Linked DNA regions of Bombyx mori. The protein of the gene in region 3 interacts with the protein of the main gene of each other region in a biochemical or structural test. Links are inferred from orthologs where the notes say so. Each region holds a gene or a part of one and is shown on either strand. Other genes may lie near its edges.

Evidence for each region. The genes of interacting proteins can lie anywhere in the genome.
Region 1: the proteins of polyubiquitin-A (region 3) and E3 ubiquitin-protein ligase AMFR form a complex in vitro, tested with the Homo sapiens proteins (10 studies listed by BioGRID, with this or other methods). The link is inferred for Bombyx mori from reciprocal best matches to the Homo sapiens genes UBC and AMFR.
Region 2: of the proteins of polyubiquitin-A (region 3) and ubiquitin-conjugating enzyme E2 S, one has a biochemical effect on the other in vitro, tested with the Homo sapiens proteins (10 studies listed by BioGRID, with this or other methods). The link is inferred for Bombyx mori from reciprocal best matches to the Homo sapiens genes UBC and UBE2S.

What each region holds. Positions count from the first base shown.
Region 1 is NC_085125.1:14,695,681-14,700,200, forward strand, and holds the start of E3 ubiquitin-protein ligase AMFR, read right to left. Parts: upstream 3,168-4,520; 5' UTR 2,973-3,167; coding exon 2,676-2,972; intron 2,613-2,675; exon of another isoform or gene 2,372-2,612; intron 1,277-2,371; exon of another isoform or gene 994-1,276; intron 458-993; exon of another isoform or gene 354-457; intron 180-353; exon of another isoform or gene 1-179. UniProt on the Homo sapiens protein: E3 ubiquitin-protein ligase that mediates the polyubiquitination of lysine and cysteine residues on target proteins, such as CD3D, CYP3A4, CFTR, INSIG1, SOAT2/ACAT2 and APOB for proteasomal degradation.
Region 2 is NC_085116.1:176,197-180,716, forward strand, and holds ubiquitin-conjugating enzyme E2 S, read left to right. Parts: upstream 1-1,475; 5' UTR 1,476-1,610; exon of another isoform or gene 1,611-1,733; 5' UTR 1,734-1,800; coding exon 1,801-1,948; intron 1,949-3,431; coding exon 3,432-3,901; 3' UTR 3,902-4,346; downstream 4,347-4,520. UniProt on the Homo sapiens protein: Accepts ubiquitin from the E1 complex and catalyzes its covalent attachment to other proteins. Catalyzes 'Lys-11'-linked polyubiquitination.
Region 3 is NC_085127.1:9,713,435-9,717,034, forward strand, and holds the start of polyubiquitin-A, read right to left. Parts: upstream 2,619-3,600; 5' UTR 2,488-2,618; intron 2,229-2,487; 5' UTR 2,221-2,228; coding exon 1-2,220.

The DNA.
Region 1 (4,520 bases), on a different chromosome or scaffold from region 3:
CATCTCGAACAATATACGGAATATTTAAAATAAATAATATTATGTTGTCAAAATAACGGCAACAAGGATCTGTACATTGTCATATTGTTATACATAATATATAAATTGTACTGAGAGTAGGTGTGTGATTGTTTAAGTTTGTTGAACTTCTTGAACCTTAGAGGAAGTTGTGATTCGAGGTAAACAACTTACATATATCATACGTATGTTTTATTGAAGGTGATCAAATAATATTCATTTGGTTCCTTCTTCACATGTTTGTGTGTAGGCGGGAATTTGTGTTTGTGTGTGAGCGGAGTTGTTTACGCTGCGCGGCCGTGTCAATATTAGAATAATTAGGTAATTTTACATAGTTGGTTAATATTTAAAATGATTTATTTTCCATGCAGAGCTGTTGGACATCAGTAATACTAATAGTACTGCTAAACCCCTACGACCGTTCCTTACGTCACAATAAGTAAGTGTTGCAATGTTCTCGCGGTCACAGCGAGACAGAATTTTAGTCAAGTGATAGATAGTACGTGACAAAAATGATCTCTTGAAATGCAATATGGAGTATAGGAATGAGTTTAGCAAAATAAATTTAAGATTAGAAACAAAAACTCCGAGTACGTCCGATGTTTTTGTATATGTAACTATTTAACCTTGTCTGAATTCGATCATTATACATTCGACGGAATTGAAACTTTATAGACTACAATTTTGAACGGTAATTGCGTGAAAGTTACTGACAAACGGCCATCAACTGTTTCAACAAATGTTTGTTTTTTTTCAAACAATTATAGGGATGGGTATGTTGTGAACTCCTACGAAGGAGTATCTCTGTTTATTTCTACAGAAAGTTATGATTCCCAATTTGACGAGCAAGAGAGCTATGTCTTGAGGCCAATAACCATTTGTGTAACAAACTAGTCTGCCCATCGCAGATAGTAACAAAAAAACGAATGATCATTTATTTGTTGACATATTTATCTTTTTATTTATCATTTTTAGCACTACTTTGGGGATGTGATTCTATTCATTCAGCAGACAGAAATCATACAGATCAAAGGCAGCTAACAGACCAGGATCATTGGATGGTAATGCCCCTTTGAAGTTCAAACCCGAGTTGGAGGCAAAGACATAAATCAAGATGCCTTCCTACTCGCTCTGACACTTAAGCTCTCATTAGACTAACTTAGTGGTGAAAGACTGGACTTGTAAAACTGGTGATTATGGATTACATTCACTCTTGGCGATGAGCATTGAAATCTACAACCAACACATCTATGAATAGGTAATGCTTTGCTCAAGCACACAATAACTCTTCACTTGGACTTGCTGAAACAGAGTTGACCCCACATCATTGTTGCCAAACTTGTACAGTTCTGTCTGTACAAGATGGCAAGAAGGCTCTGGCCCTCATGGTCTCTATACAGTCACAAAGTGGCCCGTTTTTAAGACCCCAAAGGCAATGAAAATAGACATTACCATGGAACCGATGCCGATGCCGATTCGAGCCGATGAATTGCCAATGCTATGTACGCCATTGTTGTCACATGCATCAGGCCATAAATTAAATTGTTTAAATTTATTTTCAATGTTAGATGTTTGTGATGTGGCAGTGCTTATTTAAATAAATAAATTAAATAAATAAATAAAAAAATGGAACTACATTGGCACCCCATGACATCATAAGCACACTATTTTTTTCCAAATGCAAATTAGGTAATTAAGTTAGGAAGTGTCCATGAAATCTACATGTTTATGAATGGCATCCAGATTACTTTTAAACAATACAGAATTTTAATTTTTCTACTTTTTTCTTTTAGCGTGCATTAGTTATAGAACCCCATTTAGACTTCAACTCCATGTATCAAAGTTGAAGGCAGCATTGACACAGTGACATCCATGATCTCAAATAATCACTTATTACCTGTGCAGTAAATTGTAGAGCTGTAGATTGTTTGTAGATTGACTAAAAGTGCACAACTTGAATTAACTCTACTTACTATCTGATTATCAAATTCATTAAGCAAAGGAATTGTCCCTTAATCTGAATGAATTTGATAATTTTAACGAGTTTTATAATAAGGAGGCAGGAAAATAAGCTTTCAATTTATCTATTTTAACGGACACCATGTCCTTCAGCAAATGTTTTTACATTGTTAATTTTCTTCTTCTGCATTCATATTAGATGACTTTACCCAACTATAAGAAAATCACATTTACAAAACAAATGGTATTTTTAGTTTTTTTCAGTAGCTTTAAACAAGAAAACAAGTAACTCTCTAGGTGGGCCAAGTGTGCACCTTCTCAACAAGACACTTGATCACTACCTGGCGTAGATTTAAGTAATGAGTCATTTACTAGTATTTTACTTTTGTTCCAGAACTTTCCAACTGTTGTTACTTTGACAATTAAAAAGCAAAATTACAGCATAAGCAAACTAGTAAGCAGCTAGTTTGAAGTAAATAATTTTGAGTAATGCCTGTCAAACATAAAAGCAGAGTCAACCATCTTTAGACAGATTTTAATATTTTATGGAGTTATTTATTAATGAACTAAAAACTACTCTCTTCTAAATTTTATTATACGTTTTTTTACTGTTCATAAATCTTTTAACAATTTGAGTATTTTTTATTATTATTTAATGAGGTTTTTTTCCGAATAAATTTCTATTTTGAATTACTTACCCACATACAAAGCGGTTCCTGCATCATGAAGGTTATTATTACCACCATGCGCTCGTTCAAGTTCCTGGTGGCATTCAGGTTTAGCGCCGGCATTACTTCAGCTTGGTCTACCAGCTGCGCCTCTCCATCAGGCTCAGCCAATGCTTCCTGACGCTGTAGAGTGATATTGGCGCGCCAGTTTGGATCACTAGTCACAATCGTGGCATGATAGACAGCTATTGAAAGAAGTAAAACACTTCCCGCTGTGTAAACCTTGAGATTCGGCAAGGGCAGCCTGTCTACTAAAGTCCCGGGCATATTTGTTACTTTTTTCTACTATTGTGGTAATTTATCACTCGCGCCACAACATAGCTTAGATCTCAACGACATTTGATAATGAGTATCACCGCCGAAAATTTATTTTAGTGTACCAAAATCAAAATAAATATTACGTGTAAATAAGACAGCTCAATAGTCGACACTACACACAGACTTCAAGAGAGATAACAATATAAAGTCTTTAATCTATGAATATGATAGTGAATAGAGATGTCACCACTGATATATTCACTATCGGTCTGGGGCATAGAGTTAGTAGGTATTTATTAACTCCATGGTCTGGGGAGACTATTATTAGATCTTTACGCATGATGCCGCATAGACTACTATGGTAGTTTTCCAATTACAGCACAAGAGCGCATTATGCTCAACGTTGAATGTTCCAACTACAGCAACGCTTCGCACAATCGAGCACTCTCAAAAGTACTGCTCTCGCGTGATACTCGCAATCGATACCGACTCAGTGACAGAAAATTGACAAGTGTTTTTTCTTTAAGTTGGCATTGATCGAAATTTTGTTTATATTATCGTTAGTAATATTATTTAATGTTGAAAAAAATTGTAAGGCTTTCGTTTCGTCGTAGTTTCTTAGAAATAATCAATGTTAATTAAAACTGTGCTAACTTAGCGCACTCTGCTGATGTATTTGAAAACTAATTCACGTTCCAATTAAGCTTCAGCATAATTCGGCATTGTGCGTCACTGAGTCGCATTATGCTCTGTAATTGGAAAACTACAAATATAAAGCAATGTGTAATAGTCGTAAAAAGTGTCTAAAATGTTAAAATTACAACAGTAAGATATTTTCAAGAAACCAATAACTACGGAAAATAGAAAACCTAACTGACCCGACAAACGAAGTTTTAAGTTCCAACCACCAAGCCGTAAGAAAGAAATTATTTTGAATTTTGTTTTCTTCCAATTTTTTGTTCATAAAAAGTACAAATACTACTACAAAAGTTGAATAACTATTATTGGATAATAGTTCAGTTTGTGTAAAATGGCACTTTTAATGAAGTAAAAAAACTGGACGGGAATTCTGCAACTCTTTCAATAACTACATATATTATATACATTTAAGTTTCAGTAAATTCTCACAATTTTAGTGAAATGCTATTTCGTGTCCTTTAATTAAAACTGATTACAATTAAAAACCAACTGAATTTCATTTTACTCCGTTCCTTTTTTATATAACAAGTGTTTTATGGACTTTATAGGCAAATAATATGAAATTATCCGAAAAAAGAATGATAAGAAATATTGATTTAATAATGATATTACAGCGTACATTTGAAATTTGAACTGTACTGAAATTTACATTTTTGACTCAATAAGTGTACTGATATCACTTATTTTATCTACCTGACATTGGCAGAGTCATTCGACAAAGAAGAGAATCGAGCAATAAAAAAAAGTGTATTATTATCTATGTTTTTGACAACTGCAAAATAAACAAAGGGTTTTGTAAATGTACATTTGTTTTCAAAAGTTTATTGAATTCATATTTCCACTTCGGTTTTAAAATTA
Region 2 (4,520 bases), on a different chromosome or scaffold from region 3:
CATTTAATAAGCCACCGTTGTTACACGTTTAAACCTGAAGGAATTGGTCTTAATATTCAGGTCATACAATCCCTTGTAAAAAAGTAATTCTTCCTAACAAAAACAAAATCAGAAACACAATATGAGATGTGTAGGTATTAAATATCTATGTGTCTAGGGACACAAAATTAAGGAGACCTGTTAATACCCCCGTGCACAAAACAAAACTCTGATGTGGACGTTCCTAGATAAGGAATGTACTTTTGAGTTTGTTGGATTCGCCTCTGAACAAATAAAATACCCACACGACCAAATGGTTTGTTAGAAAAGTCATATTAAAATTTATTTTGCTAAAAGTTAAATGTAACATACTCTGGCAATAATTAGACTACCGTACTTTATGACTTAATCACGAACACTAACGATTACTTCTAACGTCTAAGAGAAGACTAAGTCATCCATGAGAACTACAACTGTAAATTACCTGTACGTAGCGCCGGAAATAATAAAACTACAATAAAAAAAAAATTGTGAAAAGACGTTGAGTTTCAAATGTGTCTACCACACGTGAAGTCGAAGAAAATCTATACTAATATTATAAAGAGGAAAGATTTGTTTGTTTGTTTGTTTCGAATAGGCTCCGAAACTACTGGACCGATTTGAAAAATTCTTTTTCCATTAGAAGCCGACATTGTCCCTGATGAACATAGGCTACTTTTTTATTTTATTTTTTATTTATTTTTTTGGTTTCATGTGTGTTTTAATGTTTCCGAAGCGAAGCGAGGGCGGGTCGCTAGTATTAGATAATAGAAAATAAACATGATTAAGGAATATAATTATAAAGGAAGTGAGCGAATGAAAAATATTAATTGAAGTGAGATATAACACCCTTAAGTGTCCATTGAGATGAATTGAAATCACCTTTCAGAATTTACTGAGCTCAATGGAGTTTTTGGAAGTTGCCGCGAATCTACGTTTAGCGATTTTGTTTCATTTCACGCATTTCTACATGTACTTCAACTGATATTAAATCATAAGTAAGCCACCATTAGGAAAGTTAAGGACCATTACATCTGAATGAACGATAAATTAACAAAATAAATCAATTCACATATTTTGCCCTCTCTCTAAAAAGTCGATGAAACAATTAATTGTTGCCAGTTTCGATTTATAAAATGTTCATGTAGATAATTAGTACAAATCAGCGATTTTTAATTTATTTCCCAATTTTGCGAACTTGCAAATTAGATAAATAAATAAATAAAAATATTCCCCAAAGATATAGTAACAAAAAGTAAGATCGGTCAAGATTATTGAACATAGGTAGCTTAGTATTTATAGCACCTTTCACTTATGTCATAATATCTCTATAGTATGTGGTAGTAAGGAACAGTAAGATAAATTAGCATCACATCTGTGATTTAATATATGGAATTTTATACGTAAATATTTAGTTTTAATTAAGAACACAGTGTGACGACCCATTAAAAATTTTAGCGCATTGTGGAATGAATGTTATAGGAATAGTTAAAGCTACCTTTGCCTAATTGGGCAGGCTAATAAAAAAAATGCAGTTTTATGTTTTGAATTTTGAAAATTTTGATAGATCAACTCGAAATCAAATTTGATAAGTAGTGAACATTTTTCTGAATAATAAAAATTGCATGCTCTGTTGTAGAAAGAGATTAATATTTCGAAATTCCTTCTCAAAACAAATAGAAAAATTCTAAAAACTTAGTGACATTTCGTTTTAGTGTAAAAGGTGATAATAACGCAAGCAAATGCTATGAGCGCCTGACATAAAGAAGGAGAAGCAGAAGCATGTCGAACGTGGAAAACGTATGTCCTCAAGCGTTGCGTGGCGTGGCACGCGAACTCCGACAGCTGGCGGCTAATCCTCCGCCGGGCATCAAACTGCAGCTGCGAGACGACGACATATCTGACATAGTCGCGCTTATCGATGGTCCCGGTAAGAATCTATTCAAATATGATACTGCCCTCACCTCCAGAACCGGTGTGACATTTCGTTAAACAAAAGGCATATCTACTTTCTCATGTCATGTAATAAATCAGAGGTGGAAAGGTAAATGGTCCAATGGCAATGTCTGGATTTGTTACATTGAAGTACATCTCAATATTCAACGTCACAGTTACAATTTATACCGATTTTTTGCTATCTGCTTGATATTTATTTTGTTTTGAATGTCATTACTTATATCTTGCAATGTCTCAATTTTGTATGGAAAATTTGGACATGATTTTTTTTCAATCTGCATCTCCCGTCTTTTAGATATTCAATAATTATGGAGTCCTTTGAAGTCATGGTCTTTCTAAAGATATATTAACAGCTGCAGATATTACATTGTCAGAACTTTGTTTAACTTATAATTTAGACCTCTGAAGAGATGAGGAATAGGAGAATCTGACACTATCTAAAAGTCATAATTTTAAGAAATGTATGATGTGTTCTTTTTGCATATGGGACTTTCTTTAAAACTAAACAATAAATAAATACCTTCATAATGAACACCACACAATATAAGCCACAGATAGGTGAACCAATTCTCAATATATACCACTGCCAGTTATGTTCAAAGTTTTCAAAAAGCTGTTGTCATGTTACATCTTACCTTTATTGGAGAAAAACAAAATCATCCCAAAGAAGTTTAGTTTTAGGACGACATATTTAGTAGTTGTGCAGTTATAGAATGATAGAGAAAATGAGAAAGTCAGGTGTTTTTAGGCCTCTCAAGCACCAGTCCTCCTCGGTTGATTACGACTAACCCATACACAGCCCACTGAGTATCTTGCTGGATCTTCTCAGTAGGTCGCAATTCTGATCTGGTGGTAAATGTTTCAAAGCACTGTTCTTGCTAGGTCTAGTGCTAGCAAATTCTCTCAGGTTGAGCCTGTGAGCTCGCCTATCTGTTCACGAGAAGCTGGAATATCTCCACAGGATACTAGCCAATAAGTAGGGAAAAATTATACATATACACATTTTTTTATGTGTATGATTTTTATGCTTTTTTTTTTCTAATTGAATTAATGTGTCAAAATATTTTTGAGCATTTTTGTATATAGTTGTTATATCTAAAGCTGTAAGCTGTAAGCTGTGTTAAGTAAAATGAGATTTTAGTATGGCCAGAGGTTTAATATTTTTTTTATTGCTTTGATGCATGGACGAGCTCACAGCCCACCTGGTGTTAAGTAGTTACTGGAGCCCATAGACATTTACAATGTAAATGCGCCACCCACCTTGAGATATAAGTTGTAAGGTCTCAGTATAGTTACAATGGCTGCCCCACCCTTCAAGTCAAAACGCATTACTGCTTCACGGCAGAAACAGGCGCGGTGGTGGTATCTACCCGTGCGAACTCACATAAGGTCCTACCACCAGTAAAAACCAGATTCAAGGGTATCAACTAAATTAATGCAAAAGTTGATGATTTCAGCGGAGACGCCGTATGAAGGGGGCGTGTTCCGCGTGCGACTCGTGCTCGGACGCGAGTTCCCCGCCAGCGCACCGCGGGCATACTTCGTCACCCGCGTCTTCCACCCCAACGTCGCCGCCGAGACTGGCGAGGTCTGCGTCAACACGCTCGCACGCGACTGGCGCCCCGAGCTCGGGCTCCGGCACGCGCTCCTCGCTCTGCGCTGTCTGCTCATCGCGCCCAACCCTGACTCGGCACTCAACGCGGAGGCCGCCGCCCTACTGCGCGACCGCTACGACGACTACTTCGCGCGCGCCAAGCTGCTCACCGACATCCACGCGACTCGCAGCCGCGCCCCCGCCCCCGCGCCCGCCGCCGCGCCCGCGCACGCGCCCGCCGCCGCGCCCGCGCACGCGCCCGCGCCGCCCGCCAAGCGCCGCCCCGCGCCTCCCCCCCGCGCAGACAAGCGCCGCATCCTGAAGCGGTTATGAGCCGTCCCGAGATCAAACGATCAGACCACGCAAATGGACTCGTCCAACACGAGCGAACTTTAAGATATTTGCAAAATTGAACTTTAAGTAGTAGGTGAACTTTTTAATAATTTAATGTGTATCTGCAAAAACTGAAATCCTTGCGTTGAGTGTGCGCTGGACAGTCTGCTGCCCTTCCCCCATCTCCTTCCCGAAGCTCTTCCCTCGCGAACGTCGAGTCACTAAATAAAATCTTACCCCAAGTTAATTGAGTTAGAATCCTCCGTGCGGCTGGAGCTGAGCTGCGAGTGGCGCGGCTGGACAGAGCGCTCTGCTGCACGTGACGCTCGGAATATAAATTCACAATATCGCTATTAAAATACGTTTCCATAGATTTAATTCCTAGATTTGTAATATTGTATTGAATTAAAATAGAATAATATATTAATAACTGTGCGTACAAAAATGCGTGTTTTAATTCATAATTATTCAAACAGTAAAAACACCAAATTTTATGCTGTTCGGATATTGAGTACCGAGTACACCGTAATCGTCCGGTGTAGTGGTGTGACGTCACATGTGGGCACGCGTGGGGACGCTGACGAGGTCAGGGCCTCCCCGCAGCTCGATTGGAGGCGAT
Region 3 (3,600 bases):
TAGTGTACGACCATCTTCAAGCTGTTTGCCCGCAAAGATCAATCGCTGCTGATCTGGGGGAATTCCCTCTTTATCCTGAATCTTGGCTTTCACATTCTCAATGGTGTCAGATGCTTCAACTTCTAGTGTGATGGTTTTACCGGTAAGTGTTTTCACAAAGATCTGCATGCCACCACGCAGTCTCAAAACCAAATGCAGAGTAGATTCTTTCTGGATGTTGTAGTCAGATAATGTACGACCATCTTCAAGCTGTTTGCCCGCAAAAATCAATCGCTGCTGATCTGGGGGAATTCCCTCTTTGTCCTGAATCTTGGCTTTCACATTTTCGATGGTGTCAGATGCTTCAACTTCCAATGTGATGGTTTTACCGGTAAGTGTTTTCACAAAAATCTGCATTCCACCTCTGAGACGTAGCACCAAATGCAGAGTAGATTCTTTCTGGATGTTGTAGTCAGATAATGTACGACCATCTTCAAGCTGTTTGCCCGCAAAAATCAATCGCTGCTGATCTGGGGGAATTCCCTCTTTGTCCTGAATCTTGGCTTTCACATTTTCTATGGTGTCAGATGCTTCAACTTCTAGTGTGATGGTTTTACCGGTAAGTGTTTTCACAAAGATTTGCATGCCACCACGCAGTCTCAAAACCAAATGCAGAGTAGATTCTTTCTGGATGTTGTAGTCAGATAATGTACGACCATCTTCAAGCTGTTTGCCAGCAAAAATCAATCGCTGCTGATCTGGGGGAATTCCCTCTTTGTCCTGAATCTTGGCTTTCACATTTTCGATGGTGTCAGATGCTTCAACTTCCAATGTGATGGTTTTACCGGTAAGTGTTTTCACAAAAATCTGCATTCCACCTCTGAGACGTAACACCAAATGCAGAGTAGATTCTTTCTGGATGTTGTAGTCAGATAATGTACGGCCATCTTCAAGCTGTTTGCCCGCAAAAATCAATCGCTGCTGATCTGGGGGAATTCCCTCTTTGTCCTGAATCTTTGCTTTCACATTTTCAATGGTGTCAGATGCTTCAACTTCTAGTGTGATGGTTTTACCGGTAAGTGTTTTCACAAAGATTTGCATGCCACCTCTGAGACGTAACACCAAATGCAGAGTAGATTCTTTCTGGATGTTGTAGTCAGATAATGTACGACCATCTTCAAGCTGTTTGCCAGCAAAAATCAATCGCTGCTGATCTGGGGGAATTCCCTCTTTGTCCTGAATCTTGGCTTTCACATTTTCGATGGTGTCAGATGCTTCAACTTCCAATGTGATGGTTTTACCGGTAAGTGTTTTCACAAAGATCTGCATGCCACCTCTGAGACGTAATACCAAATGCAGAGTAGATTCTTTCTGGATGTTGTAGTCAGATAGTGTACGACCATCTTCAAGCTGTTTGCCCGCAAAGATCAATCGCTGCTGATCTGGGGGAATTCCCTCTTTGTCCTGAATCTTGGCTTTCACATTTTCGATGGTGTCAGATGCTTCAACTTCTAGTGTGATGGTTTTACCGGTAAGTGTTTTCACAAAGATCTGCATGCCACCACGCAGTCTCAAAACCAAGTGCAGAGTAGATTCTTTCTGGATGTTGTAGTCGGATAGTGTACGGCCATCTTCAAGCTGTTTGCCCGCAAAGATCAACCGCTGCTGATCCGGAGGAATTCCCTCTTTGTCCTGAATCTTTGCTTTCACATTCTCAATGGTGTCAGATGCTTCAACTTCTAGTGTGATGGTTTTACCGGTAAGTGTTTTCACAAAGATCTGCATGCCACCTCTGAGACGTAACACCAAATGCAGAGTAGATTCTTTCTGGATGTTGTAGTCAGATAATGTACGGCCATCTTCAAGCTGTTTGCCCGCAAAGATCAATCGCTGCTGATCTGGGGGAATTCCCTCTTTGTCCTGAATCTTGGCTTTCACATTCTCAATGGTGTCAGATGCTTCAACTTCTAGTGTGATGGTTTTACCGGTAAGTGTTTTCACAAAGATCTGCATTCCACCTCTCAGACGTAATACCAAATGGAGAGTAGATTCTTTTTGAATATTGTAATCGGATAATGTCCGTCCGTCTTCAAGTTGTTTCCCAGCGAAAATCAGTCGCTGCTGATCTGGAGGAATGCCCTCTTTGTCTTGAATTTTTGCTTTTACATTTTCTATGGTGTCGGATGCTTCGACTTCTAATGTTATGGTTTTACCAGTGAGAGTTTTTACAAAAATCTGCATGGTGGTTTCTAGAACAAAGAAGGAACTTTAATGAAGATTGACGGATGAATTCCCTATTTCGGAGTATTAAATGGATTGACGAACAAAACAAAAGAACAAAGACTTTTAGTCATCACAAAATGGCGACGATCATAAATTACATCGTCATTGTTTCAGATTTTTTTGTGTGTACAAATGACAAACTTGATTTTCAAACTTTTCTTGTTGACAATAATTATTTCATGCAGTAGAGTTGTGATATTTTTGAAAAATTGAAATATTTCCTACCTTTTTGGAATTCACAAAAATTATTAAAATTATCACAAATTGTAGGACACGTCGTGCAACTAGGTAGCTCTTTCACGAATGAATGAAATTCAACTTGACTCTTGAAAGCAGAATAAAGAATTTTATGACCTGGTAACTAAGACTTTTAGGTCAAGTCTTATTTTAATTATAATGAAAACTTTTTATATGAAAAAAGATATTATGAAATGAAATAAAGTTGATTAATATGAAACATGGTGTGAAATGAAATGAAATGAATGAAATGAGATGAGACGAGACGAGACGAGATGAGTTGAGTTAATTTAATGAATAATATAATAAATTAAAAATTCCATGTATTCCCTTCAGGCTTGTATTTTAGGATTATTCTCGATCACTATTTTAGGAAGTCGTTGCCTGAAAGAAATCACTCTGAGCAATATGGCGGAATGTTGCTATACGTATTCAAACAGTTTTTAAGCTTTGACGATTGTTTTATGTTTTGAAAAATATCTATCATAAATTAATATGTACTTTAGGACACATAAATTTATTTTCACTTAAGAAGTAATAGTAAAACTTATGCAAAGGCTTAAACAAGTTTTTATCTCTAATATATCGATTAGCCCACCAAAAGGCTTGGTGAAAACGTACAGCTGATATGTGCGAGTGCGGTGAAAATTCAATCAGCTTGTAGGAGTTGTAAATGAGAATAATAGAAAAGTTAGAGCTAGAAGAACAGCTGGTTGCCGGCGATACTCATTTTTTTATTACTTATTTATTTATTGTTAGCATAGAAGTAGAAAGACAGTCTTAATTTGCATCTGTGCTTGAATTAGGTGATGAAACCTGTATCTCAAGCAGCAGTGCTCCTCGTTCGGAGTGGGGAGCAGAAGATGGTGAATTGCTGAACGAAATGATGGCAGAGCTTTGAACGATTACATTTTGTTCACCTATAGGGCGTTGATTGTAGCAGCAGTTCATCAGAATAAATAAGCTAGGCAAGAATACTTTCGAATTAACACATAAAAAATGCTAGAGTTTTTTCAAACACTTTTAATCTTAAGTATTTGTGGTTTTTTTTCGTAATAGATACAATAGCCAATGGCCCATATGACGGTAAGTACTGATCGA